Mytilus edulis: one gene and its partners. The protein of the gene in region 1 purifies or fractionates together with the protein of each later gene. This does not show direct contact. Links are inferred from orthologs where the notes say so. Each region holds a gene or a part of one and is shown on either strand. Other genes may lie near its edges. The genes, in order: 7SK snRNA methylphosphate capping enzyme-like, squamous cell carcinoma antigen recognized by T-cells 3-like and RNA N(6)-adenosine-methyltransferase mettl16-like.

Region 1 (11,213 bases):
GAAATGAAATATTGTACATAACTTCTGAAATAAGTTCCATACAGTGTTAGGTCACTTTTTAAGTTCTAAACATGCAAAATGTGTGTTTCAAAAGATTTCAATGACAATATCCCCCCCCTTTTTCCATAAACAATTTTTTGCAAATTCTTACTTTACATATTGTATAGTGCGATATTTTCAGGATGGATTTATTTAAAAATATCTATTTTCTGATAAAGATTAAAATAACATGAAAATATCAGGGAATCCCCTTATGTTAATTCTATATCTACATGTACATGTAAAGAGGATTAGAACCAGGAACCAAGAAAACTAAAATAAATCTATGTTACTAATTAATATAGACCTAGAAATTATGAAAATAATCCATTTAACAATACATATATAACATTTTAAAATCTCAGTACTAACTGTGAGTTTCTTTTTCTTCTTGTAAGATGACCATGGCTGTGGTTCCAAGATAAGTCTGCCCCCAGGTCGAAGATGATTGAAGATCCTACGGAAAAATCTCTTCAAGCCAATGTCACCGTTATTCAAATGAATCCATTTAGTTAAGCTTAAAGCTAGTATGACATCATATTCTTCTCTCTGCTGATCTACCATTTCATCTGATGATAAAACATAGTTTCCCTGAAATTTATAAAATGATAAGAATTAGCTTATTTATACAATTTTTACATCACCTGTACAATTAATTTGATTAGTTGCATAATATAATAATAATCATGCATATGTATTGCATTAATTCTTCCAATGCAATATTACTGTACAATAATTATGATTCAACAACTTGAACAAATTTCTTGGTACGTGTACAAAGTGCATGGCTATAGCTCATAGCCATATAAAATACCTGTAATATGCATGTGAATACATGTATATGTGTATGCTAAATTCAAATAATCATTCATAATGGAAGTACAATGTACAAATTTTGTAATTATATGTAAAAGTTGCATTACAAAGGAGATGTTATTACCATGACTACCACATTTAATATTCCTCACCAAAATTAACTCACTGAAACCATATTCTGTTTGACAGCTGTACAGAGCATATAGTTCCATAGCAACTACTGCAAACATCCTTGAAATCATGAAAAGTCAATTAGAATTTTGTAAATATATATCATTTACACCATTGCGTTCAAATATTAAATTACTTTTTTCACTATATTTCAAATCATGTGCATATATATACATGTATACATATTTCATGTACATGTACATGCATGACCCAAAAAAAGGAAACAAAATTCTTTTAATAGATTTTTTTTAGATATAGTTAAAACATTTTTATGCATATGATTTATCAGCTGTCAGTTGAACATATATATACATTTGTACACATGTAACTTTTGTATTACATCATACATGTACATGTATACATTTAAAATTAAAATTAATTTTCTGAAATACAAATTTTAAAGAATTCCTTTTCCTGTATTACAAAGGTACTTAAATATGATCCTTTAGTCCAAAATGTGATTTTCAAGCATTTTCTATCGAAGGCTTACTTACATTAGAGTCAGTTTAAATTGAGCTGCGAAATTTGTAATATGAGTCGCATTATGCTCAGAAAAGGTCTTATAAAACAAAAGAGATGCATATAAACCTTAGCATGATGTGTAATAACACACCTGATTCAATATAGATCATCCAGCAGGTAGCAAGATTTAATTGCCCTAGCAGATTATGGGTTACAACCCCCCAATAAACAGGCGCAGAGATCCAGGGGGGGTCCGGAGGTTGGAACCCACCTTTTTTTTGGACGATCAATGCATTTGAATGAGACATGTAGTTGGAACCCTCTTTTTTAAAATTGCTGGATCCGCCCCTGATAAACATAATAAATGCCTGACATCTAAATGTAGTGACATACATGTAGGGGATGCTGGTGATTTCATCAGATTATGTCCATAAGTATAGTAATGACTACTGCACCAGTCTTCACGATGAACTGTTACAGGCCCAGAGCTCAATTTTTGAAAATTTTTAGTTAGATTCTGTTGGCCTCAAGATATGATTTTTACAGGCCCGAGAGCAATTTTACAAGCCTGGGCTGCCACTCAGCGTGAAGACTGCTGCACAGGAAGACTTAAAACCTACTCTGTAAACAATAAACCTAAGCTTAAGTACATGTACATAAACCATATAAACAATGCATATATGACATCCTTTTTTTATGTTAGACCTAATAAAAACCTGTGTTTCTGCTGACATACATACATATACAAAAATGTACTGGAAAAAAAGCTGGAAGGGTGAAAGAGTCAAGACTTGTATACAGTCTGTGTCAAACTGTTTTAGGGTTTGTCTGACCAAAAAAGAAATTTTTGTTCTATATATATTCAACCATAAAATCTTTAAAGTTCTGTCTGACCAAATGATTTTTTGTCTGACATTTTGTCGGTTGGACATGTACAGAGTTTGGGATACACTGACTGTAAATAGCGCTTGTTCAAAAACTAAATATAAAATCTTACTCATATAAATGTACATGTAGCTGACACTGCATGTATGAATTACCTGTGTAAATGTTATATTGTATGGAAATCCGTCTTTCGGACTATTCCCAACCACAGGCGGTGCTAGTATCGGACCATAATTGATGGAGTTTGACACTGGAAACGATTTTGAATCCGTCTGACGCGATGTAATATAATGCCTTATATTCTTCCTTGCTGCAGTAATTAGTGTTCTATCAATGTCTACTCCTACTATTTTAGTAGGATTGAAATCTCTAGCAATTGAAAGTGTCAGATGTCCAACATTACATCCAATATCTAGTACATCTTTCTTCTCAAACCATTCCTGTTTAAAGCAATGTAGTCTATAGTCATCTTCTGTTTCTGGGTTTCTATAGCCATAGTATCTATTGTAATTGCCATGTACAAACTTTGGATTTTTATTAAATTTGACAGCACCAGATTGTTTTTGGTTTGATTTCTTAGATATTTTCACAGGCAAAGGTTTAGGAATCTCAAGATTTCTTGATGGACTTAATGATGTTCTGAAAATTGCTCTAGCTGCTGTTGACTCCGGTCTTGCATGAACATCACTCATACTTGAGCATCTCGTCCTTTTCCTTGGCCTTGGGGATGACTGTGGGATTACTGGAGACACAATTTTATCTGGTTTTGAAGAAGAACTAAGTTTGAAAGTTAATTCTTTCATCTGTGGAGATTTCATTTGGGTTAAATTCATATCAGTCAACTTAGGTTCATCTATTTCAATCTTCAAAGCTTGCATTAAATTTTTCCTTTTTTCGGATGGCACCCATTCCTTTGCTAACTGACTACCAGAAGAAAATGATTCATGTCTTTTTTTATTTCTTTTCTTTTTCTTTGCACCTCTCATTCCTATTTCATCATCTGCTGACTCTAAATTCAATGGGTCTGTTATGTTGAATGGCACTGAGTTGATAAGTTCTTTCCGATGTGCTGGTGTTGGCACAGGTGACGAATATGGTGTCTTGTCATTTTCCTCTTCATTTATGCTGTTTAGGTTCAATGGATCATTAATATTTCCACCTAAAAGAAATTTTGTCGGCAACACAATCTGTTCACTTGGTGTTGACTTGAATCTTTTTCTGCGTGACCCCGGGCCATAGAAAGAAGCATCATTTCTGTTAGCGCTTAGTTTTCTTTTCTTCCACTGAACTGATAAATTTTGTCCCCCATCACTTGCTCTTCTATAAGAGTTGTAGTTCTGTTGATTTTCGTCAAATTTGAATGTAACAGGTGATGGTTTTGGTTTTGAGCTCGATTGTTTATCTCCACAAAGAAATTCAGAATGTTCGAACTGAGTGTGGGTCGGTGTCTTCACTTCAACACTCATTTTAACGTCTTTTCACACACAATCTATGTGTTTGTTTACATCGAGCACGTGTTCGTAATGTAAACGTCGGAACTTTGCTGCCACCTGGCGGTTGACCAAGCCAAAATGCGGTCACAACAACAATCACCTATTTCGTCCTGGCATTAACAGTTCTCAAGAAGAATAGGTTCAAAAGTTAATATTAATTGCACAATTTTAGATTAACGAAGCATTAAATGTCAGAAAATATCCACCAAAGTCGAAGTAAACTTCCTAATGTTTCCTTGAGCGCTCCGTCCAGTAAGGCAGTTAGCTCACACTGGATATCCAATGCGCCTGTGCAAATTATAGAATTGTGGGAAATTATTTCGGAAATTGTTGTTCCGAAAGGCTATAAATTGTCGTCTGCAAACAAACATTTGAACAAGAAAACAGATTTTGACTATTCCCAGAAGACTAAGCACTGTATGGCTCTCTAAGAAAATTGAAGGTACAGATATTTATGAGGAGTACAAAATATTTGCAACAATTTCTTAACATAACACAGGTTTAAAACAAACAGTTGTTGCAAGCACTTGACTTACATTTTACACAATTATTTTTATTTATTCAATTTTCATTATGATACAGGTTTAGAACATTTTGTTTTTATGACATCACATGACCTTATAAGCAATGAAATAATCATCAAGTTTTTTATGATTGATTGATAACTGCTTTTCTTCTCCTTTTAAGTTATTGTTGTTTATGATGATGTTCCAGACAGCTGCTCAAGACATGAGCTGAGCAAGATAATTTTATAAGATGCTATGCCTTTAGTTCATAAGCTAAAGGCATAATGTAGTGGTTTGACCACAGGAATCGGAAGATCTATCAATAAAATTCTGTAAATAATAAGGTCGACTATCAATTATAGAACTTCTCGTAGAATTTACAGAATTTTATTGATAGAACTTCCGATTCCTGTGGTTTTGAATATATATGTATGCATCTTTAAATTTAACAATTGTATTTGTGATGTATTGAACCAAAAATGATCGTTTCAAACACATTGAATTGGATGAATTAAGTATCTTATATAAACCAGTGCATTAAACCTGAAAGATATTTTACTTATACACCAATATATACAACAATATAATATCTAAAAAGAAAATATGCTTTTGCTCTGAGCCACAAGATATGCAGACATTAGAGATTTTTTTATGGCACCCTTTGAGTGATCAAAAGTAACAATTACTGCATTTAAAAAGTCATGAACTGAAAAATAGATTGTCATATAATAGATCAACTATAAGTGCTCCGATGATGACTTGGTTAAATCATTTATCAAATGTAATGCATTATTTTTAAAGATCAGCAATTATATTTTCTAACTTTTTCTGTTTTTGTTTCAGCATATAGAAATGACTGACCCAAAGAAGCCTTGTTTTAAAAAGACATTTGCAGGTAAAAATTAATTACTGCCCTTCCGTCTTAGTCAACCCATACCCTATAGGTCAGTTAGTCTGTCTGCAGCACTTCTGTCACATCAAGATTGCCTCAACTGTCTGATTTTCAATTGTTTTGCATCTACATGTATAGTGTAAAATCCTATGAAAGGATAATCTCATTTGTGCCCTTTTGAAATTATCCCCTAAACATTGTTGAAGAAAACAAATTTTTTGGTTTAAAAAAAGAAAATCACAAAACATCTTTTCATGCTAGGATTTAGCTGCGAAAACATAGTCCTTTTGATCCGCAAATATCAAAAATCATCAAAAGGAATTAAGAGCTACGTTTTCACAGCTAGCTAGGATTGCAATGAAGGATATGAAGAAAAAAAATGTTGTAAAAATTTAATTCTTTTAAAAAATTACAGTACACCTTGTTGGCTTGCTAATGGATATTCTTCAAATATAGATCAGTATTAATAGAAACAAAAATGCCATTATAATCTATGTATCTTACCTTTATATATTTGTTTTCCAGTACCAAAGCTTAAAGCAGAAGTAAAAGCTGAGAACTTACTATTGAGTCCCAAAAATCTGTTTAAGACTGCTGAAAATAATACTGCCAGATCTGAAATTGTTCAGGTTCAGGTAAATTAAACTGATCAACACTAGGTGTGAGAGTTAATTTCACAAAAAAATCTAGCTGCTTCTTAAAATTAAACATTTAAAAGCTTCTCAATTTGTCAAATCAAAAGATGTTCAAGTTCAGACAGACTTTTAGACAATATTGTCTTACCTGAAGTCATATATACAAATAATGAATACCTGCACAATATTATCTTATTGTCTAATTATTTTTCTTGGATTTGATTAACCAGTAGGTACACAAGAATATAAAAACCTATGCATTAACTTTAAGTTTAATTTGTACTTTATTCTGGTATAGGTAAAGTACTTCTCTGATCAAAATCAAATTCAATTTTATAGTAGATCTCATGTGTTCTTCTAATAGACAAAAGTTTGAAGATTCTGAGCTTTCAAAACATGCTTGTATTATATAGGTATTGTCTCATAGGCACTCATATCACATCTTCTTATATCTATTGAATATAAAATGCATCTTTAAATATTCTCCCACAATAGCATGAATAGGATTGTGTGCATTATATAACTTAACTGCATTTAAAATTTTGCATTTTTTATAACAGCCAAGTTCTGGAAAATGTGATGATTCTAATGATGTCATAGACAAAGAACAGGACAAGGAGAATACTGCAGTGGTTCCAAAGAAAGTCAAGTCAAAGAAAAGCCTTTTCCAAGCTCCATGCACCTCAGATATTGTTAGTTTTTTTCCATGTATAAATTAATAGCCCAATTTTTGTAAATTTATTTTAATTAAGGTGGTACCTAACACTACAGGGAGATAACTCTGTAAAATCAGATGAACGCTTTAATTATGTTGTGTTGGTTAGGGAATATTAAGCTTCTCAATGATCAAAATTAGTGTTAGTCAAACTGCTATGTAACCAGTGTAATTTTTCTGATAAATTGGTTGGTTCAAATTTTTTGAAATTTTTATATTTCTGTCAAAGTAAATACTTTGTCAAAATTTTTTGAAAATTTAACGAGCCAAATTTATTTTAGTGACGGTGTTGGGTACCACCTTAAATAAGCTAGAATAAGAATAGAATTTTGGACAAAAAAAGGTACTGATAGTTAAGTTTTATTTTTTTGCACAGGTAATACCTATGTAAGGAAGACCTCTTGTGTGCTCTTTTGAAATTCTCCTCAAAACAGTTGTAAAATTTTTTGGAAAATTAATTCACAAATTTTCAGATTTCGTATCCTCATATTCAAGGCCAGACATTATTTCTGTTAACTTTAATACTGTAGACAACTGATTCTGGAAACAAAATGCTTTTTTCTATACCCGATTCCAAATTTCAAAAAGATAATTCCAAATAGAATTATCTCCCCTTAATTATTTCAACACAAAAAAATTACTGCTTTCTAATAGGTAAAAGTAAAAAGGGATACCAATCATTTTTGGGATATGATTACTTTCAAGCAATCTGTAGACTTATACCATTGGCTCAGGTCCATGCCCTCACCTCAACCGTTTTATTCTAAACACTAAGGAACATCTCAGATTCTTATGATTGTCTTGCTTTAAAAGGTAAAAACAAACAAAGGGATTGAACTTAAACAACTTTCCTATAATGTTCTTTTCATAATCTTCATGTTTGATATTTCCCTTGACTTATATGCCTGTTTTTAATAACACGGAAAATCAGAATTAAGCTGTATTCATATTTAGTGTTTTTATAAATTTAGATACGCGTCAGATGGAATTCCCCAGTTTTGATAAAAATGCGAGAGTTCTCTGAATTCCGATAAATCTATATCTGTCATATAAGAACTGAAGTAGAGTTTTTCTCATATGTCACCGTTATGAAACTGATATTTGATATTGTACTTCCATAAAGAAATAGAGAATCATCTAGGTCGTTTAATTAACATTTAATATAGGTTCTTGCTCAAGGGTTTGTTTTGGTAATTATGTGCATGCATATAGTTTTCTTGACTTCAAGGGGTATTAGATTGAATGGTTGCTCTGGATTCCCCACTCAATTGATTAATTTAAAACTCATGGGTTCCTTTCTATGTATGTCTGCTATTGAGGGTTATTGTTGTTGCATAATTTTAAATCATATGCATCATTTAAATTAAAATAAATGTAGTCCCCATTGTAGAGGTGTAACTATAACACCCCTTCAGGCAAAATGGAGTCTTCAATATTATCGTTTCATGTTGTTTCCCTTTGGGAAGTAACTTCCGTCAATTCTGAGAGATACAACACGTCGAGAAAAATTAACTCGTTCTGTCGATAAACGTCTTATTATATTAAAAACGATCGCAATTTAAACCGAGGAATGTGTACGGAAAGGAGTCATGACCACTGACCCAAAGGAAATTAAATATTTAAAGAGTTAGGAATGGAGTTCCTCCTAGAATTAATGTAGGAAAATAGGTGATAAGATACGAAGTGAAATACCTTCTCTCACTCTAACCCGTACGAAATTATAAGGCGTATTACGCCTGGAAATAAGGCGTAAACCAGGCGTAAGTGGTAGTTACGTGTCTAGATCCAAGCGTAAGGGAGCAGGAAACGTAAATTTGTAGTCCTTACGGGCGTAGAAAAAAGCAGTTAACCTGGCGTAAATTGAAATAAGCAAGGCGTAAGTTTTCTTACGGGCGTAAATTGAAATAGGCAAGACGTAAATTTTCTTACGGGCGTAAAACTGTTGGTATGGCGTAAATAGAAATACCCATAATGCTTTGTTTAAAGGATCATGGGATTTTTTTTTCAAAATTTGGCTCTTTGGTTTTAGTGTGTAAAGGTTGGACACATGGCAGCTTCATATATTCAGGGATAATTTGCTTGTTTTGTGCTTTTTGGAAGAATCTGAAATTGGAAATACTGAATCTAATAAATAAATGAAAATTGTGAAATAAAAGGAAAGTAGTTATGCATGGTAAATAATAATAATGTGAGTATAACTAAGTTATTTAAAAGTATTATGTTCTATCAGAATTTTTGAAATCCCAAAACCTTTATCCTTGGATAAATAACATTAAAATCTTTTACTTAAAGTTAAATTGCAGTATTATCATTTATAAATTAGTTCAAAAGACAATAATTTTCAAAAACAACTTAGTTAAAATGCTATTTCAAGAAAAAATAGTTGTTATAATTCTGATTTAAACTTAAACTTATTTGAGCCATTGTCTGCATAAAATGTATTTATTTCTATATTAGCTTCTTCAATGTTTAATATTTCAAGTTTTTTGTCAAACAATAAGAAATAAAAGCAACAGTACAGAAGTTTGTATCAATACACAAAAGTACACAGCTTAGGGTTAATACACTGAACTAAAATAAGTGTAGTATTATGTAAGGATATTACGCCTGGTTTATTTATTGACCAGGCATACTCATTTGCATATTACGCCTATTTTTTTGTGAACCAGGCGTACTCATTTAAATATTACGCCTAATTTTACGCCTGGTTTACGCCTTAGTTACGCCTAATTTACGCCTGGTTTACGCCTGGTTGACGCCTGGACATGCATTCAGTAAACACTGCAATGCCGCCAGGATAAAGTATGATTTTTACGCCTGGTTTCCGTGTCATATACGGGCGTCACAGTTCGTACAGGAAGTCTCAGTGACTGCTGTAGAAAGTAAACTTGGAAAAAAGTAAAAACACAAAAATACTGAACTCCGAGGAAAATTCAAAAAGGAAAATCAAAAATCAAAAGGCAAAATCAAAAGTCCAAACACATCAAAAGAATGGATAACAACTGTCATATTCCTGACTTGGTACAGGCATTTTCTAATGTAGAAAATGGTGGATTGAACCTGGTTTTATAGCTAGCTAAACCTCTCACTTGTATGACAGTCGCATCAAATTCCATTACATTGTCAACGATGCATGAACAAAACAAACATACTCAAAGAGTAAAAATGTCAAAAATAGGGGTACAACAGTCAATATTGTGTTATCATCTTAATATCACTACATAAACAACAACTGTAACAAAGTAGGCATACATCAAATTTAACATTCTCATTTTGCTTTTCTTATACGGCTGAATTTATCTATATCTATGGAATTGATAGTACAAAAATAAAACACAATAGGCCTAATTACATTGTTCATACACTTGTATCCAGAATTGGCTATTTTGTAACTATTCAGATTACGTAAATTACATGTGCAGTTGAATTGGTTTTGAAAATAGTATTATCCAGCTACATGTATACATGTGTCAATGAAAATAATGGCAATTGTATCCCTCAGAGCAATCTGCTCTTTGATTCTAAGCTTAGGTTTGATGCTGTTTCAGGAAAAAAAGGAGGTAAAGGAAGAATCAAGTGAGAAGACCAAAAAGAAAGGAACAAAGAAATCCCTTAAGGTAATTTTTTTCTAAATTAATAAAATAATTAACTTTCATTTTGTTCATTTCATCTTCTTCTGGGAAGTTATGGTCAGAGTGTACCAACATTTTAAAATATATTCAAAATGTTTAAAATAAAACTATTGGAGGGTAATATACAATGCCAATGTTTGTATTTATATTTGCCGGATAATCTTTTTTTAAGTCAACAGGAAAAATAAGAACATGGAACAATATTCCAGGATAAAAAATAAAATCATCTTTTATTGAAATTAGTATATAGACAATAAAAGTGCATTGACTTGACATATTATCGATATAAGGATGAGGCTATTTCCCTGGTTCGAGCCGAATCCTTATATAGTTGATATGTCCAGTCAATGCACTATTATTGTCTTTATACTGCAATCTAAAAATAACCATTTTCATCTGTTGTTTAATTTATTATTTGATTTATATATTGGGAAACTTCCCCGTTTAAAAAAAGGCCTCATATCATGCAGGCGGAGAAATATACAACACATTGAAATGTACATTACCTGTTGAAAGCCGTAATCGATGGTGAACAACTTGTTTGAGAATGAACTAAAATATCAACAATAAGCATAAAACATAATGATTTATAGTTTGCAAACCAAAAATATTAACAAGTGAACTATGTTTTTTTATGAAAATTGCAAAAGAAATAAGTTTGAGTTGTTGTATACATTGGAAACAAGAACAGGTTGAATAGGTGGTATGAAAAATTAATTTTATTTCAGCAATTTCTATTTAAATATTCATGAGGAAAAGTGATATCAGGTCAGTGACTGTATATGACATAGAAATATACGGTCAACACATTTTGACTGCTCATATAAATGTAAAATAATATATGAAATTATTATTGAATAACATTTGAAGCAATATGTCAATCAAATGAGACCTGCAAAAATTGTAATTTAAATAGTATTTTGCTCAAAGTTATACAATGTATAAAAAAGTTGAAACATTTTGATGA
Region 2 (11,130 bases), on another chromosome or scaffold:
TAGACATGTCTTTGATAAGCAATACTTTGAACCACTGACAGGGTCTTTAACGATCCAATGCGCAAAAATGACAAAATTAAAGACAGAGTATTGTCCCTGCTAACCTGAAGAGTGTAGGTTTCAGCTCGAGAGTTCCCAGTGAAGACATTTTTTTTTTGTTTCAGTTAAAAAAAATTGAGGTACAGAAAATCAGATCATTTCGTCTTTTTCTATTTAGTTCTTTGAGTCGCTTTTTTGCTTTTCTTTACTTTAGTATGCATGACATGAAACTTTAAATTCATGTTCTAAAACAATATTTACGTGTGCATTGTGCTTCAATATGAAAATATGGGATAAACGTCAATGATACAGCCACCTAGTGACAGAAACAACCAAAAAGACATGCATGCGCTCGGTTTGACGGTAAACCAGATATATGCGAGATAGCCGCACGGGAGAATGGAAGAAAGAACCTTCACAATTTGCCATACAATTGTTTTTCCCTTTCTTTTTTTTTAAATAAATAATTAAAAAAAACTTTCTAATGTAGAGTTCCTAAGATAAAAATATTCCCTGTGGAAGAACCCGCCCCCCTTTTTTTTCGTCCTCTCCGATTTTAACTCTCAAATTAAGCTTTCCACTCTAATTAAAATTAAAACCTTGCTTTCTAACCGATCTATCCTTGTACTGGACCGGCAACTTTCTTCATTTAATAAGAAAAATATACAGTTGCGTTATAAAACATGCATGTTGTCTGCTTGGAGTCCCCGCCCGAAAAGAAAGAAATAGCCTAACTCCAAGATACAATATCATGTCCTGCATCACGTGATTTTTGCCACGTGGAGCTTACATTAGAATGAATACCGAATATGGAAAGTGAAACTACAATTCAAAACATAAAGTCTAAAGGCACATGGATGAAAAAGATTTTTTTTTTTTTGGCAAAGGGTGCCGGGGTTATCTTCTCTGTGTTCATAATATACATGAAATATTTGCCACTGCACCTTGTCTGCTCTATAAATTCTTACCCTGAGTTTTCTATCTGTTACATGCCAAGAAATCCTCGCTAAAAATTCCGGTTGACCTCCTGCGGCACCTATTAGTAGTTTAAAGATTGGATTTCATTCAACAAATTAATTTATGACCTGCATGTACGTGTCGCTTAGAACACGGCCACATACCAAATGGTTAATAATAATCATCCATGTAATTTGCTCTATGGGATGTTTGCAAAATTTCAACGGAGGCAATTTCTTGGCATGACGACACAGCCTTCTAGCGATAAAATAATATGTTTGAAAGAACTATGCACTCGGCTACCTTGTTTTCTTCAAATCGTTTTTAAAACGCCTTGGTTTCTTCAATTTGAATTATAGAAAACAAAACTATATATCAAACGAAAACTGGATAAAGTGAGAAGCAAGTTTCTTTCGTTAGTAAAAATTACTACTTCACTGCTTATTTCAGAGTTCGAACCCTACACGTGGTAGCTTGGTTCGACTCCAATCTTAAGTGACTAGGATTGACAGTTTCCCTGCCGAAAGTCAGTGGTTCTCTCCGGGCGTCTCAGCTTTCTACACTCAAAAACAGCTGGGCGCCATGAAAGAGCAAATAATGATAAAAGTGGCATTAAAGACCAACAATGAATACACCAATCATTGCACATCAGATCATAGTTTTGTTCAAACACGAATCTATTTATTTGAAATTGAACTTGACAATAGCAATTTTTCCCGCATCGTATAACGATGAATTCGGATAACACTGTAATATGTGCCGCTGGACATGAAAAAGCTTAACCTTTAATAATTTTAAATAATAGAAAGATTACGAGATGAATTTTAAAGCAGAACTATTTAAAATTAATGTCAGATGTTTAAGGGGAAACCAATAATTAATAAGAAGATATTTAAGATTTTTAAGATTTCCAAGATAAGGGCACATAATTTTAAGGGTACTGTCATTAAAGGTTGGTGTGTCCATCATATTACATATGTGGCAACCTTTTGTTTAAGTTTTATAACAAATTAAACTTTTCAAAGTTATTCAAGTTCCATTACTAACTTAAAGTCGACACCTTATAATGTAGAATATCTATTTTAAATAGAAAAGGGTGTTTTCTATGTCAAAAGATTGCAAAATTTTGGAGAATGAATAGAGCTGTCCCTATTCGAATGCAGCATTCGTTAACTTAATAGACATGTCTTTGATAAGCAATACTTTGAACCACTGACAGGGTCTTTAACGATCCAATGCGCAAAAATGACAAAATTAAAGACAGAGTATTGTCCCTGCTAACCTGAAGAGTGTAGGTTTCAGCTCGAGAGTTCCCAGTGAAGACATTTTTTTTTTGTTTCAGTTAAAAAAAATTGAGGTACAGAAAATCAGATCATTTCGTCTTTTTCTATTTAGTTCTTTGAGTCGCTTTTTTGCTTTTCTTTACTTTAGTATGCATGACATGAAACTTTAAATTCATGTTCTAAAACAATATTTACGTGTGCATTGTGCTTCAATATGAAAATATGGGATAAACGTCAATGATACAGCCACCTAGTGACAGAAACAACCAAAAAGACATGCATGCGCTCGGTTTGACGGTAAACCAGATATATGCGAGATAGCCGCACGGGAGAAAGGAAGAAAGAACCTTCACAATTTGCCATACAATTGTTTTTCCCTTTCTTTTTTTTTTAAATAAATAATTAAAAAAAACTTTCTAATGTAGAGTTCCTAAGATAAAAATATTCCCTGTGGAAGAACCCGCCCCCCTTTTTTTTCGTCCTCTCCGATTTTAACTCTCAAATTAAGCTTTCCACTCTAATTAAAATTAAAACCTTGCTTTCTAACCGATCTATCCTTGTACTGGACCGGCAACTTTCTTCATTTAATAAGAAAAATATACAGTTGCGTTATAAAACATGCATGTTGTCTGCTTGGAGTCCCCGCCCGAAAAGAAAGAAATAGCCTAACTCCAAGATACAATATTCCTGCATCACGTGATTTTTGCCACGTGGAGCTTACATTAGAATGAATACCGAATATGGAAAGTGAAACTACAATTCAAAACATAAAGTCTAAAGGCACATGGATGAAAAAGATTTTTTTTTTTTGGCAAAGGGTGCCGGGGTTATCTTCTCTGTGTTCATAATATACATGAAATATTTGCCACTGCACCTTGTCTGCTCTATAAATTCTTACCCTGAGTTTTCTATCTGTGAGGCCCCTCATGGGGGGGTCCTAGTAATCACATAATCACCATTTTTTTGCCAATATAATCACATAATCATTAAATATTTGCTTATCTTTAGTAATCAAATAATCATAAACTAAAAATACAGTCCTAGGTAATCAAATAATCATGAAATATTTGGCTTAATAATCAAATAATCATTAAAAAAACGGCCAAGTAATCACATAATCAAAAACCCCATGAGGGCCCTCATCTGTTACATGCCAAGAAATCCTCGCTAAAAATTCTGGTTGACCTCCTGCGGCACCTATTAGTAGTTTAAAGATTGGATTTCATTCAACAAATTAATTTATGACCTGCATGTACGTGTCGCTTAGAACACGGCCACATACCAAATGGTTAATAATAATCATCCATGTAATTTGCTCTATGGGATGTTTGCAAAATTTCAACAGAGGCAATTTCTTGGCATGGATCGCTTATGTTGCTTTTATAACACTTATTTGAACTTTAATGCTATGTTTGTACATAATAAAGACATATCACAATGAAAATATGTAAAAACTTTCCTTCAAATCAATTAATTTGGTATTTTCAAAACGTAAACAAATACAGTTTTCCCATGATCCTTTATTCTACAATAGACATACCCGCATATGACAGTGAAAATGAACTAGCTGGATTCACACTTTATATACACTGATACCGCATAGTCAGCTATAAAAGGCCCCGATAAGACAATGTAAATCAATTCAAACGAGAAAACTAACGGCCTTATTTATGTAAAAAATAAATGAACGAAAAACAAATATGTAACACATAAACAAACGACAACCACCTGAATTACAGGCTCCTTTATGAAAAAAAATATAAAGAAATGCTATATTGGGGGAAATTATTTAGACCAATTATAAAACTATAAAAACCGATCAATTATAAAACTGTTAACTGAATCAAATTTTTTAAAGTACTCTATTTCTGCATGGATGAAGCAACGACACCACCATTGTCTTAAATGATGGAGTTAAAAACTCAGTAATTCAAATGAATCCCACGTGAAATTTTTCATGTTATTTTCACGTGAACTTTACAAAAATATGAAGGTATTTTTCATGATTTTAATTAAATTTTTTAACAATCTTATTTTGAAAATTTACGTGAATTCAACGTGTACCTGATTTATGCATGATTCACGTGGAACCAACCAGTTCAAGCAAGTTTCAAGTATATGCTCGTTATGAAAATCAGACGAGATTAATGGGTAATTCATGTGAGTGAAATTTCCAGGTGCAGAACGAAATAAATTATATCAGCAGAATTGTGTATTTCATTACTAGGAAATTAACGAAACCCGACAGCGGAAATAAAAAATAAAATAAACACCATTCAGATCCCGACACATATTTTGTTTTCAATATCTCTGAGTAGTAATACCGTAACGTTACATTCTGTATTCAATAACGTCACACGTTTTCGGTCCAATTCTAATGATATCAATCAACTTTGAAGCCATTTATCTCAAAAACAAGGATGGTGACATATGAGTTTCTATACGTGTATGGATTCAGTATGCAATTCTGGATATTATGTTAGTTTTTTGTTTTTCTCCGTATATAAGAACATAGCCATCCATTGGAAAATCTAAAAAGTTAAGCCGAAAAAAAGGCATTTCCCCTATATACCTAGGTAAATTTGTCGCCAAAATTGACGTTTTCCTATGAAAATACCAAGAAAACAAAAATGGTGACCCCCATTTTTTATTACATATTCCGATATAACTCAATTCAAAGAACACATGTGCCAAAAAGTTTGGAAATCGGGAGATATGCCATTCGGTATCGTGTTACCTTCAGAGCATCAATTTAAGTTTATTGACAATGTCATAGATTTACCTCAAAACGAGAAATATTAGAAAATAAAATAAAAGTTATCTAAATACAGCGTTACATGGGGGTCTCATTGGGGGGTTCCGATCCCGGATCCCGCTTACTGTTTTGTCAGATTCCCGTATCCCGCTTACACTATGTACATAAGCAATTCTCATTTTTTTTTCATTTCCCGGGTCCCGCAAGACCTAATTTCCCGTTTTCACGCCACAATAATTTGACTTTCACGTGTCACGCTTACAAAAAATCGGCAATCCCGCGTCACGCTTAGACCCCAATGAGACCCACTTACATTACCACTGATATCAATAATAAGCTCAGCATTATTAGACTGTCTTTCTCTTTCATATCAGAATATCTAAATATAAGAAATAGTGTACTGATATGATAAATCAATATGTAACTTTTCATTCTATCATGATATGTTATCATGTAACTTTTCACTCTACCATGTCAATTAATATAATTATATGTATACAATAGGTCTTAACCATTATTTGTTAATGAGTTTGCGCCAATAAAATAGTCGTTTTGTATTTGTATTAATTGGCATATTTTAAAAGCTTTGACTGTAGTTGATACACTAGCAAACTTTAGGAGCATTGGCTTCAGCTAGAATCATTGTGGCATCATCTAGAAGCATTGGTTTCAGCTTGAAGCATTGTGGCATCATCTAGAAGCATTGGTTTCAGCTTAAAGCATTGTGGTTTCAGCTTGAATCATTGTGGTTTCAGCTTGAAGCATTGTGGTTTCAGCTTGAAGCATTGTGGTTTCAGCTTGAAGCATTGGTTTCAGCTTGAAGAATTGTGGTTTCAGCTTGAAGCATTGGCATATTTTAAGAGCATTGCATTCAGCTTGAAGCATTTTCATATTCCAAGAGTATTGGCTATATGAATATATGAACCCTGCTTTTTTCAATCCACAAGAAGAGCAGCAGCAAACACCAGTTTTGACATGCCAGGGTTCCAACTTGAGTGAACACGCTAACAAAAGCTAGACCACTGATGTTATCATTGTATGAAGGACATATATACCTTGCAATTAATTAAAATACCAAAAATATAACATATAAAAACTACTATATAAACACCCTGGTTATTGACCCTCAAAATTAGGACAAAATATCAGACGAAAAACCACAAGACTTCTGCATACAGATATGGAGCTATCCAGCTCTTCCACAGTTTGGATAATAAAGTTTTAAAAAATACCTCCCCACAAGATTCCTTTGTTTTGCCCATGATACCGGCAAGCCAATAAATTACTGGTACTGTGGAGTCATTATTATTCGTTGGATACCAATTTTTGTGTTTGTTTCGATAGTACATGTGTGTGAACCACGAATTAAAATGTTCAACGAATAACAAATGTTCTATATGCTTTGTATGTAGAGATTGGCAAAACCATGAAATCAAATACTCACTCCGGAAATGCAAGTTTTCCTCCATCTACTAAAATAGATACCCACGAAAATACTAGTTTTCCTCCATCTACTAAAATAGATACCCACAAAAATGTTAGTTTTCCTCCATCTACTAAAATAGATACCCACGAAAATGCTAGTTTTCCTCCATCCAATAAAATAGATACCCACGAAAATGCAAGTTTTCTTCCATCTACTAAAATAGATACCCACGAAAATGCAAGTTTTCCTCCATCCACTAAAATAGATACCCACGAAAATAGTTAAATTTAGTTAATTCAAGTTAGACTAAGATTTCCAATATCCCTGCCAAAAAAATATTAATCAAACATATTTTTGTCACGAATCTTCCTTTTTATGCATTCATGTACAACTTTTTCTTTTTCTTTTCGTTAAATAATCTTTGCATACTAATAACGTAAACGTGAAAGATAACAAACGAACAAAGGACCCGATACCGTATCTGCTTCCTTGGTTATAGCATTTTTCACAATTACCTCCCTTAGTTCGTATTTTAAACGCAATGGAGGTCTCTACTTCAAACGAAAATAATAAAGAAATGCAAGATAGTGACGACGATGAAAAGGCAGATGTAGAAATGGAATGCGAGAAAGATTCAGATTCCAATGACTCTGACAGCGAAAATGAGGAATCGGAGAGACAGGTTGCAGAACTTCAGAAACAGGTCATTTACTTTTATAGCAAAAACTGAAGCCAAAGCCTTACTCTACTGATCTTTAGTAGACTTTACTATTGGTATTGAAAGAGGTCCAAACTCACATAATAAACCCCATAACAAATACATTATATCGCTATTTCGAAATCTGCACCGGTCGAATATTAAGAATCTGTGTGGTGGAACTATACACCTTATCGCCATTTGTCAGCCATTGCTGGATATCACACAGGTTCCCGTAAAATTTTGACGTCATAAAACAAAATGTCTGACGCCACAATGAAAAAGTGATTGTTGTATGCGTCAAAAGTTCAAGCGGCCGGGTCAGCCAGGATTAGCGATATGGTGTATTGACATCATACAACGAGCACTTCTCCATTGCAGCGTCAGATATTTTGTTTTCATATCATTCTATCCCCAAGTCGATCCAGCCAAAGTCAATCTGTCCCAAGTTGTTCCGTCTCAAGATGATCCATCTAAAGTCAATCCCTCCTAAAACAAAAAATATTTGTATTAAGCATTAAAAAATAAAGCTGTTTATGTTTTTGAATTTTGTAATAAAATGAAAGCTTGACAGTCGAAAAAGCTATCTCTTGAGGAATATTTTCATTATCATGATTATGAATAGATAAGACATTTTTTTGATTATAATGTAACGGGAGTGGAAGTTTCCCGAGTTCAGGGAATATTAGAAAACAGAATACGTTACTCATAATATAGATTTAATCTCAGCCAAATAGATTAAGCACAGTTTACAATGAATAAATATACGGTGGTGGCTAGTCTACTTGTATAAATAAAGGTTCCATATTTGAAAGCCAAACGATATGAGCGTCTGCTCATTTCAAATCCTTAGTGTAGACTGTCCCGAACCCGGTGAGTGACGTCATATGCGTATAGTTCCTATGGACAACGAGCCCGGCCGGGCACGTGCTAGAACAGGAAGTCCCGACAAGGATAATTTCATGGCCGGTCTCGGAAGAAAGAGTTACGGAACTATAAGTAATTATAAAGTTAACCAATTTCCCCAAATAGATAAGTAAACAAAGTGACCACCATTACAATAAATTAAATTACTAAAGATCAAACTATAAAGATCTTGTCACTCATGATTTTGATTAAATAGACAACTTTTGAGTTCAATGCATTTCCATCAAAAACTTTGTTTTTAATAAACATCATGTCTGCATTTAGGGGCGTCGTCACTTCTGTTTCAATGTTTAGAGAATGTTTGGAAAACTATAAAGCTAAATTGCACACTATCTGGTAAATGACGTCATAAAGGAGCACATAATTGACAATTTTTTTCTGGTGACAGACAAACTCAAAAGTTAATTATTATTAATGATACTTTAGCATAATCATCAGGAAAATGTTGAATAATCAAACCAAATATAAATAATCTAATGATTTGATTTAAAACTAGTCATTATAATCAGGATAATGATTATATTGAATTAAATTAAAAACAGTACTTTACCAATTACACCAATTTTTGTATCGACTTAAAACAATTCTTCTGAATATAACTGCAATATTAGGCATACTTCGCTCACTAGTCAGTAAGCATCGAAACTTTTTACTAATTCCATTAACCTGTAATCAAATATATATATATGTCACCAAATCTTGCAAAATTAGTAAAGATTATTAATCGGAAATGCACGATGGTGTTGCATCGAATAAACAGTTCCACTGTGCAATATTCCTTTTTGAAGTTTTTCATTCTTGAAATATTTATATTTTCATCCAAAACTTTTTTGCCCTGTTCTGTAATTAAATGTGTAGTCTATTTTTCAGATATCAAAGAACCCATACCTGTATGATGTTCACATAGATTTAATTAAGTTATTAAAACAACTTGGAGAGTTAGAACAGCTTAGAGATGCCAGACAACGAATGAGTGAATTATTTCCCTTGGCAGAAGGTATGCGAGGAGTCTAAGTTGTTCACATTTTATTGACAAATGAAAATGATTTTCATTGATGGATAAATACAGAGTTCTCTCAATCATTTTTAGCTCACCTGGCCTAAAAGGCCATGTGAGCTTTTCTCATCACTTGGCGTCCGTCGTCGTCGACGTCGTCGTCGTCGTCGTCGTCGTCGTCGTCTGTCGTCGTTAACAATTTTTCAAACATCTTCTCCTCTGAAACTACTGAATGGATTTGAATGAAACTTAACATGATTGTTCCTTAGTATATCCTGCACAAAATGTGCGCTTCGATTTTTGATCCGTCAAAAAACATGGCCGCCGTTACTTAAAATAGAACATAGGGGTCAAATGCAGTTTTTGGCTTATATCTCAAAAACGAAAGCATTTAGAGCAAATCTGACATGGGGTAAAAATGTTCATTAGGTCAAGATCTATCAGCCCTGAAATTTTCAGATGAATCAAACAAACCATTGTTGGGTTGCTGCCACTTAATTGGTAATTTTAAGGAAATTTTGCAGTTTTTGGTCATTATCTTGAATATTATTATAGATAAAGATAAACTGTAAACAGCAAAAAAGATCAGCAAAGTAAGATCTACAAATAAGTTAATATGACCAAAATTGTCAATTGACCCCTTAAGGGGTTATTGTCCTTTAATGACAATTTTTCACAATTTGTTCATCATATTTGCTAACTTTAAAAAATCTTCTCCTCTGAAACTACTGAATGGATTTGGTTAAAACTTAGCATGGTTGTTCCTTAGATTATCCTGCACAAAGTGTGTGCTTTGATTTTTGATCCGTCAAAAAACATGGCCGCCGTTACTTAAAATAGAACATAGGGGTCAAATGCAGTTTTTGGCTTATATCTCAAAAACGAAAGCATTAAGAGCAAATCTGACATGGAGTAAAAATGTTCATTAGGTCAAGATCTATCAGCCCTGAAATTTTCAGATGAATCAAACATCCAATTGTTGGGTTGCTGCCACTTAATTGGTAATTTTAAGGAAATTTTGCAGTTTTTGGTCATTATCTTGAATATTATTATAGATAAAGATAAACTGTAAACAGCAAAAAAGATCAGCAAAGTAAGATCTACAAATAAGTTAATATGACCAAAATTGTCAATTGACCCCTTAAGGGGTTATTGTCCTTTAATGACAATTTTTCACAATTTGTTCATCATATTTGCTAACTTTAAAAAATCTTCTCCTCTGAAACTGCTGAATGGATTTGGTTAAAACTTAGCATGGTTGTTCCTTAGATTATCCTGCACAAAGTGTGTGCTTTGATTTTTGATCCGTCAAAAAACATGGCCACCGTTACTTAAAATAGAACATAGGGGTCAAATGCAGTTTTTGGCTTATATCTCAAAAACGAAAGCATTAAGAGCAAATCTGACATGGAGTAAAAATGTTCATTAGGTCAAGATCTATCAGCCCTGAAATTTTCAGATGAATCAAACATCAAATTGTTGGGTTGCTGCCACTTAATTGGTAATTTTAAGGAAATTTTGCAGTTTTTGGTCATTATCTTGAATATTATTATAGATAAAGATAAACTGTAAACAGCAAATATGATCAGCAAAGTAAGATCTACAAATAAGTCAATTTGACCAAAATTGTCAATTGACCTCTTTAGGAGTTATTGCCCTTTAAAGACTTTTTTCACAATTTGTTCATCATGTTGACTTACTTTAAAAAATCTTCTCTTATGAAACTGCTGTATCAATTTCAGCCAAACTTAGGCTAAATGAGTTTCAGAGTTTCAGAGTATCTAGTATAAATTTTATATTTCATTTCCTTGTATGTCAAGAAACATAGCTCCTATGGCTAAAATAGAACATAGGAGAAAATGATTTTTTTTTTTGCTTTTGAAGAAAATAGGACGATTCAAAGAACATTTAAATAAATTGAAAAGCCAAAATAATCATTGATGAGAGATTAAACCAAAAAAATTCAGGTGAGCGATTCAGGCTCTTGAGAGCCTCTTGTTTTGGAAAATGACGCAGTCATTGTTCCATTACTGGCGACCTGAACTTCAT
Region 3 (11,162 bases), on another chromosome or scaffold:
CCATTTGATGCTAAATAATCTGCTATTGCACGATTCCTAAAAATATAATAAGAAAAAGATTATAATAACATTGAATAAGCTATTGTGACTGAAAATGCTGAAAATTAATTGATATATATTCTTAATTCAATACATTCTATCACAGAGAATTTTACATGGTTTGCAGGTTACTCTGAAATTTTTTAAAACAAAATAACTAGTTTTTAAATTATCGCTTTAGTTGAAGGTTTCAGGATTTCAAAGAGAGTGTGCCACCAAGGCCAAGGAAACATTAGAAGTAGGAGTTGTAAAAGTCTATGCTTTAATCACATGAATCATGTATCTCTATAATTGGGAATAAAATCTGTTTGGTTTTTTTAACTGTCACTTCCTTGACTTCATGTACTGTAAATTCAGAAATTATTGTGATGTTTTTATTATTGCGAAAAAAGCGACAGGGTTATAATCGCAATAATTTAAACTCTCATTTAGAATCTCTTTTTATGAAATAAATGTATAAAATGATATCGCAAAAATTATTTTTAAATCGCAATTTAGTCTAAAATGACAAAATCACATGATAAATGCATGCAATAATTTCTGAATTTATAGTCATGACAGTATAATCATGAAAACCATGATAACAGTCTGCACCAAAAACTTTTTCAACTACTAGTCTGAAGACCAATATCCTGACATTTTTCTTATTTGGCCAAACAAAGTTTTGCAAAAACTTACTAGTCCGAATGAAATTTTACTAGTCTGGGGCATCAGACTAGTGGCTAACCGTGCAGACTGTGATAATGATTATAATAATTACAATCAGTTATCATGGTAGATATTTTTTTCAGTTATGATTTACACGTAGTGTAAATTATCTCCTAACAGACAGTTGACTTACAATTCCTCCCTTTGTCTTTGAGATAAAACCATGGTTGCTTAAAGATAGTAAAACGTTTTCCCCTTCTGTCTTTAGTTAGGATAATGTCAGCACATCTTAATTTAATCTGAAATTTAAAATCAAATATATATATACAAGAGGAACACTCATGTGCCTGGCTGTGGCATGATCACTAAGCATGTATAGCTGATGGAAACTCTGTCACATGATTCCTGACATTCCAAACTTTTATCCATGTTAACACCTGACTTCCAACTGCAACCCATCCAATCATTTTGCCAATTATGATTATCAGCATCAGCATACATGTACATGTATTTCATTTGAATTTATTTTTAATAGTTCTAAAAAAATGCATCTTCAATCTCTTATTAAACTTTACCTTTTTTTCTAATATATATATATATACAAAATATTAAATAAGAATTTAGTTTTCTATATACCAGCTGACAAATGATGGATATCAAACATCAAATACTAATTAAAGACCTAGTCCATGAAGTCCATGAATTAAGATACATTTCCTTGTTCAATTTCCAAACTGATTTACAAATTAATTGATTTTCATCATTGTTCATTGCAGTAAACATGGTTAACTTCAATTTATTACAAGATCAATAATACATTTCGATTCCGTGGCCATTGTAACTACATTCAATAGATTTCCACTGGGAGCTCATTCTATTACTAAAGAATGCATGTATACATGGTATACGAGATATTTAAATTGTTATTAAGCTTTGAATTAATGCATAATCATGATAATCATCTCATCAAATTAATCATAGTCCAGCAATTATGGCAATACTAATGTATAGCAATATTTTCATAAGTTAGTAATTGACATCGTACATCGTACAATCCTCAATACCTGCATACAAGACAAAAAGCAGAAATTGGAACACAAGGCAAAGTTGCCTATATGATACAGGGTTCTTATTAAGGATTTGTGAAGGCGAGTATAGAGACATGTCATTTTTAACACTGGCGAGTCCAACATTAAGAAAAGGATATTTTATAGCAATATATTTATCATTCTAGTCTCCATGACCTAATAGAGCAGTGAAATTACATTAAATTTTGCTATAAAATGATGCTACAAAATGTATGTGTGTTCAGTTTATAAAAATTTTACAATCTTGATCAATGCATCTTTGGACTCACCAGTTTTGAAAATGGTGAGTCCAGGACTCATTGACTCACCTCAGTGAGAACCTTGTGATATATGTACATTGTAGTAAGTACAGTATTTGAAATCATTAATTACAGATAATTTCACCAGGCAGATTAACTAGCCCCTTGGGGCAAATTCTCTAAAACTGTTGAGTCTGTGAAATCCACATGGGTCATTCAGAGCCCTTATCCTCTCTCTTATCAACTTCAGTTTTAACAGGAATAAATGTTGATGTAAATAATAGGAAAGCAATTATCCAGACAAAGGGGCTTATTATGCAGGATTACATGTACATGTACATGTACATCCAGTTTTCATGAAATCAAGGAGGTCATATGAGAAGGAGAGTGAACACTTTGCTTGGTACAAAATAAGCATTCCCAGGATAGCAGTTCGATCAGAGAAAAATGATAATCAAAGAGCAGATTGCTCTGAGGGATACGATTGCCGTTGTTTCGTTGACACATGTACATGTATACATGTAGCTGGATAATATTATTTTCAAAACTAATTCAACTGCACATGTAAAATAGTTACAAAATAGCCAATCCCGGATAAATGTGTATGAACAATGCAATTAGGCCTATTGTGTTTTATTTTTGTACTATCAATTCCAAGTTTACTTTCCACAGCAGTCACTGAGACTCAGAGTGAGAGAAGGTATTTCACTTCGTATCTTATCACCTATTTTCCTACGTTAATTCTAGGAGGAACCCCATTCCTAACTCTTTAAATATTTAATTTCCTTTCGGTCACTGATCATGACTCCTTTCCGTACACATTTATCGGTTTAAATTTCGATCATTTTTAATATAATACACTTTATTGACAGAACGAGCTAATACCTGACGTATTGTTTTAATTCAGAATTCACGGAAGTTACTTCCAGAAGGGAGACAACTCGAAACAATAATATGGAAGACTCCATTTCGCCTGAAGGGGTGTTCTACGATGTGGACTATATTTACTTTAATTTAAATGATGCATATGATTTAAAATTATGCAACAATAATAACCTTCAATAGCAGACATACATAGAAAAGATCCCATGAGTTTAACATTAATTAATTGAGTGGGGAATCCAGAGCAACCATTCAATCGAAAACCCCTCGAAGTCAAGAAAACTATACGCATGCGCATAATTTCCAAAAAAAACCTGGAGCAAGATATATTAAATGTTTATTAAACGATCTAGATAGTTCTCTATTTCTTTATGGAAGTACAATCTCAAATATCAGTTTCATAAAGGTAAAATATAAGAAAAACTCCACTTCAGTTCTTATATGACAGAAATAGATTTATCGGAATTCAGAGAACTCTCGCATTTTATCAAACTGGGAATTCCCTCTAACGTGTTTCTAAATTTAGAAAAACACTAAATATAAATACTGCGTAATTTTGATTTTCCGTGTTGTTAAAAACATGCATATAAGTCAAGGGAATTATCAAACATGAAGATTATGAAAAGAACATTATAGGAAAGTTGTTAAAGTTCAATCCCTTTGTTTGTTTTTACCTTTTAAAGCAAGACAATCATAAGAATCTGAGATGTTCCTTAATGTTTAGAATAAAACGATTGACGTGAGGGCAATGCTCTGAGCCACCAGTATAAGTCTACAGATTGCTTGAAAGCAATCGTATCCCAAAAATATAAAGAAACCGACATGTTTATCACCCACTTGACATGGCCCTCTGATGTACCGGGCTGTTACCGCGAGCAGTAAGGGCTATTAGATAAATGGCATATTTCTGGTAACAATACAGTGTATAAAAAAAAAGATCAGACGCGCAATTTCAAAATCAATCGTCTGTCTACCGTGAAAAAAGATAAGAAATGACAAAGTTATGATGGTTTAAAGGAAAGTTAGTGTGCGATTTTTATTCAACACTACATTGCTTTCAACATGTAAACAAAGATTTTCACTTCACCTTCCAATTACTGTTGATGAGAATTGGCAGGTAATAATAATAGAAAATATATGAATATGCAAAGTACTTCCATGTAATTGAAATCACCAATTATGTTATTTATACATGTAGTATATTCAAAATGTTCAAATACTTATAGAACATTGTATAATTATAATTAAACCGTTGATGCAACTTTTTTTGTTAAAATTCATTAGACTTGGTAACATGGAAAATTGCTTTGAGCAACAGTGTACCATTTGATAAGACCAAGGGTATCAAGAGACAAGTTCTGTCCAGTCTGACCTTACGAGCAGGATAGATATTCAAACTGCTCTAAACAATAAGACAAAAATAAATAATACTTGTGTTTACGCTAACCATACATTTTTAGTGCCTACCCTAACACTTTTTATGTCATTTTGGAACTTTTGGAATATTAGATGTAAAATCCTGCAATCTGAGGTTACATTTTTGTATCTGGAAGTGTAGATAACTTTTCAAAAATGTAGAGTTTTTTCTCCATGTAATATGAAAAATTCTACTAAAAAACCTTCTAAAAACTGTTGACAAGACTGTTAAAGACTCTTTTCTTTGAATTTAAGACATACATGTACATGTAAAATAAATGTATACAAGTAGATATAAACCCCTTGCCATCAAATTTTGTTTAAATTAATTTCTCATTCAAATTTGACTTTGGAAGTTAAAGAGATCATCTTTTCTGATGCAGACCGTAAGAAAAGAAGAAAATCAATCAGTTAAAATTTTATTCTTCATAATTTTTCATAATATTTTTCAATTTGCTGAACAACTTCTGTTCAAATACAATAACAAATACAGATACAAATTTGCCTCCTTTTCCCTGCTCCTTACAGTAGCTACAGAACATAACTAGATTCTCGTACTCATAGTACTGGAGCCAGGGACGACCGTCCATCCAATGAATTTTAAATTCTCTAACCCGTTTATCCTCGTATTTCTTTTAAGCCTCTGTAACTTGGTAGGACGTGCGAGACGGCCCTTTTGTTTCCTTTCTAGTCCCAGATTACTCTGACGTCCAACAGCTGTTTTGCCAGACAAGCGGTGGTCCCATGGCCCCAGCTTGTCTGGCAAAATAGCCGTTGGACATCAGAGTAATCTCAGACTAGTGCCTTTCCAGGTCTCGCACTATCCGACAGTGAAGCCTTGTATAAATGATGTTTGTGACCAAAATTATGTGTACACTTTCGAAATGAAAACAAAACTGGTTCCACTTCTTCATAAAATTAATGGTACCCAGTCATCGAAATCGTCCTAATAAGCAATCGTCTAAAATACACAAGATGTCAAGTGGGCAGTTACGAATTAATATCTTTCGACGCAAAAAATTGAAAAATGATCAATGTTTTTTTATTTTCTGTTATTATATTTTATTCAGTCTATGCAACATAAATCAATCAATAATTACCAAAATTTGACATTTTGAAAACATGTGGTACTAACCGTTTTTCGTGCTTTTTATTTTATTTTGAACAATCGGTTATTAGGGAGACTGTCAAAACTGGTTAACGGTATTTTTGTAAGGAAGAGAGTATCAGTTAATTAATATAGATGGCGTTGAGTGACATTCTGCGTTAACTGATGGTAACGATTAAAAAAGTGCACACAGATATGCACTGCCACTAGACCGGTCGGACTATCGGCAGTGTACAATGTATCAGTAGTTTATGTAAACTAGTCTGAGCTTATTTAAACTAGACACGGGCTTCAGGCTACCGCTTAACGTCGCAGACTGCATAAATATTATTTTTTTTGCCTAAATATAGCTATATTAACAATTAAAATACGTATTACACTGAAATTTCGGTTGACAAGCAGACCAAACATGAAAATAAAATTTTGACATCATAAATTATCAGAATTTAAAGATCAAAACAAACGAACTCTAAATCAACTGATACAATCTGAGATCATCAGACAGCATTTGCCTGATGTTCATTCTAATAAACAAAATAAGACGAATTCATTAAGTATCACATCTTGAATAACTTTTGCTGTCTGCCTGAGGGATGGGTTGCAAAAATACTCCACAACTGTCAAACTTGTCATTAGAAAGACAATGGTCAATTTATGTCTAATTTTGCATAAATGGTTAAAACATAATCAATTTCACACTTACACACGTATAAATCGTACATGTAAAAAGATAAATGACATACAAAAGTATGTCTGAAATTTAATGAAATGTTAATTTTTGCATGAAGTCATTCATTGATTTATAATGTCACAGACCGCCATTATGAAGCTGTCTGCAATTCATTTTGAAAATAAGGCACAAGAACAGCAATTTTTCCAATATAAATTTAAAATTTCTAGGTCATGCATAATTCCTTTCTTCAATTTTACCTGTAAACCATTGGAATATGTCTTAAATCAACGAAAATATTATCACTTGCAGGACTCCACACGTAAATTCGTCCGAAAATTGTATGAATACGCATGCGCATACGGAAAACATACGGAAGTCGCACAACGAGACTTCCTCGGGATCCAATATGTCTGCGCCCCTGAAACGTTGTTTTTTAGACGTTTTCATACATTTTATGCTGTCCTGAAATAACATTTGCTAGTAGACATTTGAAGTTGCTTATTTAAGTTTCCTTAAACTATTTAACGGTAAGTACACGATGGTGTTTGATAATATGAGGCAGGCATTACCTGTGAATGAGGACGAAGTTTGCTTAAATTTTTTTTTTTATTTTAATTCTGTATTCTGTATTTTAAATATTTGTTACAAAAAAAGATACGGAAATACCGTAACGTTTCCGATTTTGGTTCTGTTGTTAGGGATTTTACTTGTGACGTTATTTAAGTTATGACGTCATGTTCAATGTAAACAAAGAAACGCAATGCATCAGGTAGGCCTAACGTTTAATATGAGGCAGGCATTACCTGTAAATGGGGACGAAGTCTGTATGAATTATTTTTTTGTAACTTTTAAAAACATTTGTTTAAAAAAAAAGAAACGTAAATACCGTAACGTTTCCGATTTTTGTTCTGTTGTTAGGGATTTAGTTGTGACGTTATTTAAATTATGACGTCATATGCAATGTAAACAAAGAAACGCTATCATCAGGTAACATTTTTCCCCCGCAAGCCGGACCAGATGGCCATTATAAAAAAAATCCGAAATATATTGCTTGCAGAGATTTTTTCTGTGTTCCCATGGCTGGACGGAACTTTTACGCTAAATATGTTAACGTTATCTATGATTTTGTAACTTTTAAATGAAGTACCTGTGATTATTTGGGTAATTTGTTTTGACCTCACTGTTAAAGGAATGTTGAAGCAGACGAAACATGGCGTCAGATGTTGTTGTCCTAACTTCGATAATTTCCGTGGTACGATAAAATTTAGATAAGCTACACAAGTAACCAAAATTTCTGAATTCTTGTTTTTGCAAACAAATAAAAATTCATGTTGTATTTAATATCAAAATTATTCCGATCTGTCCCGTTTTTTCAAGGTCACGTTGAAACGTTAAATTCGGCCGCCATTAAAAAAAATAATCATACGAGATTTAACGAGAGTGACGAAACTTTTCAGATGGGTCGTGTAGAGAGAGTTATCGTTCTTTATTCCAAAACGATGCTTCTACCATAAGTGCCAGCTAAAGCTGGCATACTAGACTGATAAATATATATTTTACTCAAAGTTTCATACAAACGAGACCGGAAAAAGGAAGTACATTATACATTTCTGCGCAGGTCCGGGATTTCAAAACACGACAAAAAAAATTTGAACGATTTTGAGTTCATTAGTACAATGAAAAATTCGGGAAATTTTCCCGTATTTTTTTTTTTTATTGAATTTTCTACTGTTATTGGGGACTCCGTCCCCATATTAATTCATACCAAAGACAAAGAATGATTAAAAATGAAATATTGGTATTGTGTTCCTTGAGTTCCTATATTTTACTAGACTAATCAAAGTCTCACGAAAACAAGACTGGAAGAAGGAAGTAGAGTTATGTGTTCTGAGCAGATCCGGAAATTAAAAAACATGACAAAAAAAAAATTGAACGATTTTGAGTTCATTAGTACAATGACCGAAATTTTCCCAATTTTTTTTTTTTTTTGAATTTTATACTGTAATAGGGGACTTTGTCCCCATATTATAGTCGTCCTCGTACTCGCGAGTCTTTCGCTTTGGATAGAAGTGCTCTATATGATCATACACAGTATGAAAAAAAACAAAATATATAGGATAGCGATCGCCATTGACAGTAAAACCTCGTCTGAGCCACTAAACAAGCCCCTGTGTATCATATATGGGGTAGAAATGTCTAATACCGTCAGTCGTCAAACGATAATTTTTGGCTACTGTAAAGCATTAAATTAGTTAAATTTTACCATGATTTGTCAAAATATCCTTCTTTTGATTCGTAAGAGTTATCAAAATATTTAAATTATCTTTTGCATCATTTTTGGAATAATGTCGAAATAAGTCATGTAAGTCAATTGTTTATCGTATAAAAGTGTACATATTATTGTCATGCACAAAAAATTACAGTTACAGCAATTGGTTTGAAGTTTTACTGTTATTCATCATGAAGCCTGAAGATACTCCCATTACCTACCTCCTATATCTTTATATATATATATATATATTTTTGTTTCTAAATTGACAAAATATTCTTGAATATTGATGCCTGCAGGAAAAATTAGTTTGAACAAGTGTTTTTGATATAAATTTTGAGAGCCTCAATGCTCTTGAAGTTGGGTGCTCAACTCAATCTCAAAGCACACAAGAAAGCCACAGGCACTTGTCTTGAATTTCCCCCCCCCCCCCCCCCCCCCCCATATGTTACCTATTCCATTGTATTCTGTATTTTCCACCTTTACCAGATGAACCACTTCAGTTGGAAAATCCTCTTGAAGTGTAGAATCCCTTATTATTGAATATTCACTATTATTGGATTAAAAACATCTTCTACATGTATATATACATTTACACTTATATACACCACCACCACACTTATTTAAAAGTATTCAAACTGTATATACAGCATGTACAGTCATATTTTAAAATCTAAAACTTGATAGATTGATCCACTGTCATTTTGTCCTTTATTTCACTTGTGTCTCTCTCCTCATCAATAGAATATATATACATCACATGTATCCACAACGCATATTGACTGTAAAACTTGCTCAGATCAGCAAATGTCTATTTCACACTTAAACATGCTCATAAAATGCGAACTGTAATTCCTAACCCTTGCTCTTATACCTAGTATTTACCCCTATCAAGAGAGCCTTACTACAGAATTATTAATTCTTAAACTTACGGTAATGAAAAATTTCACTGTTAATCATGTTAATTGTACTTCATGTACTTATGACTTAGCAACAAGTAAACATTTAAAATCTAAAAAGAAGGTGTAAAATTATCACCTATCATATAAGCGTTAAATAAGACCGCCTAACTGATTTGTTTAAAAATATTAAACTAACAATCAGTTTAAATCTTAAGAAATTATTATCATCTATACCACACTCAAAAAATGAAATATTGCACTATATGTCTCTTTTAACTTGGAAAACTATACAAACAGTCTTCATAGTAATAAACTAGTTCTCTTCTGATGTAGACCAAAACATAAGCTGCTTAACAGGCGCTCAATATTTATCCATACTGGAATTTTGTACAGTCCACTATTAATTGTAATAGCTTATCTTCAAAGTTAAATAAATCATCCACAAGAAGAGCATTAATCTTATGTACCATAATATTATGAGGCAGGCATTACCTGTGAATGGGGAGTAAGTCTGTATGAATTATTTTTTTTGTAACTAAATATTTGTTAAAAAAAAGAAACGGAAATATCAGATTTTGATTCTGTTGTTATGGATTTGTTACTTGTGATGTTATTTAAGTTATGATGTGATGTTCAATGTAAACAAAGAAAGACATGAAAGACAATGCATCAGGTAACCATGGTAACCGTAACGTTAATTCATATCAGAGACATGAGTATTAAAATGAAATTTTGGTATTGTGTTCCTTGAGTTCCTATATTTTACTAGACTACTCAAAGTCTCACGACAACGAGACCAGAAGAAGGAAGTAGTTTCTGTGTTCTGTGCAAATGCAGGAATTAAAAAAGCGACAAATAAAAGTTAACAATTTTGAGTTGATGAGTACAATGAAAATTTCCTGACCAATTTTTTTTTTTATTTTATTGATTTTTCTACTGTTACAGAGAACTTCGTCCTCATATAAAACAAGGTACTTAACTTGTCTTTTGAAAAAAGTCACCCAAAACATACAACTGGCAGAAAAAGGTATTTTCCCACTCTCTTCATGATCATGTAGTTTCTTATTCTATCTGCACAAAAAAAGATAACTTTTAATGAACTAAACACATATTCTGCGGAATTTGTAAGATACATGTACTTATACAAACTGTACAAGTGTAATTTATTTACCTTTAATAAAATATTTTTTACAGAATTAATTATGGCGTTGAATAAGTTCATGCATCCAAGGAACAAGTACAAAAGCAAGAAGGCAAATTTCCAGTACCTTGCCATCAAATATCCAGAATTTAGGAAACATGTTTATCCAGATGTAAGTGGAAAGCTTTTTCTTGACTTCAGAAATCCTGATTCTTTAAGACAGCTTTCCACCACACTTATGAAAGAAGACTTTGGATTGGATGTTGTGTTGCCTCCTGATAGACTGGTACCTACCATTCCTTTGAGGCTTAACTATATCTTATGGATAGAAGATATTTTGAAAGATTCCAGTATTAAGGGAGACATTTTAGGAATAGATGTTGGTAATATTAAGCATACATATTATAATTTATTAGAATCTTGAGAAACAAAATATAGAACATGTAGAATCAGAAAATATTCTCCACGATTAAAAAAAGGAAATGTGGTATGATTGCCAATGAAACATTTTTTTACTCTTCCATGTCTTCACATGAGACCAAATGACACAGAAGTTACATTTGTAACATCTATAGGTCACTACAACCTTCAACAATGAAAAAGCACATACTGCATAGTCAGCTACATGTATAAAAGGGCCTTAAATGTCAAATATTCTCCTTGAGGTCAATTAATTCTGATAGGATAATAATAACAATGACATCCAGAGGGCAATATAACAGTCTTTTACAAAAAAACAAGACTAACACTCAATGTA

The links.
Region 2: the proteins of 7SK snRNA methylphosphate capping enzyme-like (region 1) and squamous cell carcinoma antigen recognized by T-cells 3-like purify together in Homo sapiens (affinity purification with mass spectrometry; 6 studies listed by BioGRID and IntAct, counting the BioPlex papers as one, with this or other methods). This does not show direct contact. The link is inferred for Mytilus edulis from reciprocal best matches to the Homo sapiens genes MEPCE and SART3.
Region 3: the proteins of 7SK snRNA methylphosphate capping enzyme-like (region 1) and RNA N(6)-adenosine-methyltransferase mettl16-like purify together in Homo sapiens (affinity purification with mass spectrometry; 3 studies listed by BioGRID). This does not show direct contact. The link is inferred for Mytilus edulis from reciprocal best matches to the Homo sapiens genes MEPCE and METTL16.

Annotation. Positions count from the first base shown.
Region 1 is NC_092356.1:27,037,269-27,048,481, forward strand, and holds the start of 7SK snRNA methylphosphate capping enzyme-like, read right to left. Parts: upstream 4,164-11,213; 5' UTR 3,840-4,163; coding exon 2,529-3,839; intron 631-2,528; coding exon 412-630; intron 1-411. Other genes in the region: zinc finger CW-type PWWP domain protein 1-like, read left to right, coding at 5,225-5,267, 5,790-5,899, 6,460-6,591, 10,163-10,231. UniProt on the Homo sapiens protein: S-adenosyl-L-methionine-dependent methyltransferase that adds a methylphosphate cap at the 5'-end of 7SK snRNA (7SK RNA), leading to stabilize it.
Region 2 is NC_092349.1:30,326,767-30,337,896, reverse strand, and holds the start of squamous cell carcinoma antigen recognized by T-cells 3-like, read left to right. Parts: upstream 1-6,960; 5' UTR 6,961-7,001; coding exon 7,002-7,163; intron 7,164-8,954; coding exon 8,955-9,081; intron 9,082-11,130. UniProt on the Homo sapiens protein: U6 snRNP-binding protein that functions as a recycling factor of the splicing machinery. Promotes the initial reassembly of U4 and U6 snRNPs following their ejection from the spliceosome during its maturation.
Region 3 is NC_092349.1:6,454,768-6,465,929, forward strand, and holds the start of RNA N(6)-adenosine-methyltransferase mettl16-like, read left to right. Parts: upstream 1-6,465; 5' UTR 6,466-6,620; intron 6,621-6,745; exon of another isoform or gene 6,746-6,862; intron 6,863-10,458; 5' UTR 10,459-10,466; coding exon 10,467-10,788; intron 10,789-11,162. Other genes in the region: lissencephaly-1 homolog, read right to left, coding at 1-36, 881-912. UniProt on the Homo sapiens protein: RNA N6-methyltransferase that methylates adenosine residues at the N(6) position of a subset of RNAs and is involved in S-adenosyl-L-methionine homeostasis by regulating expression of MAT2A transcripts.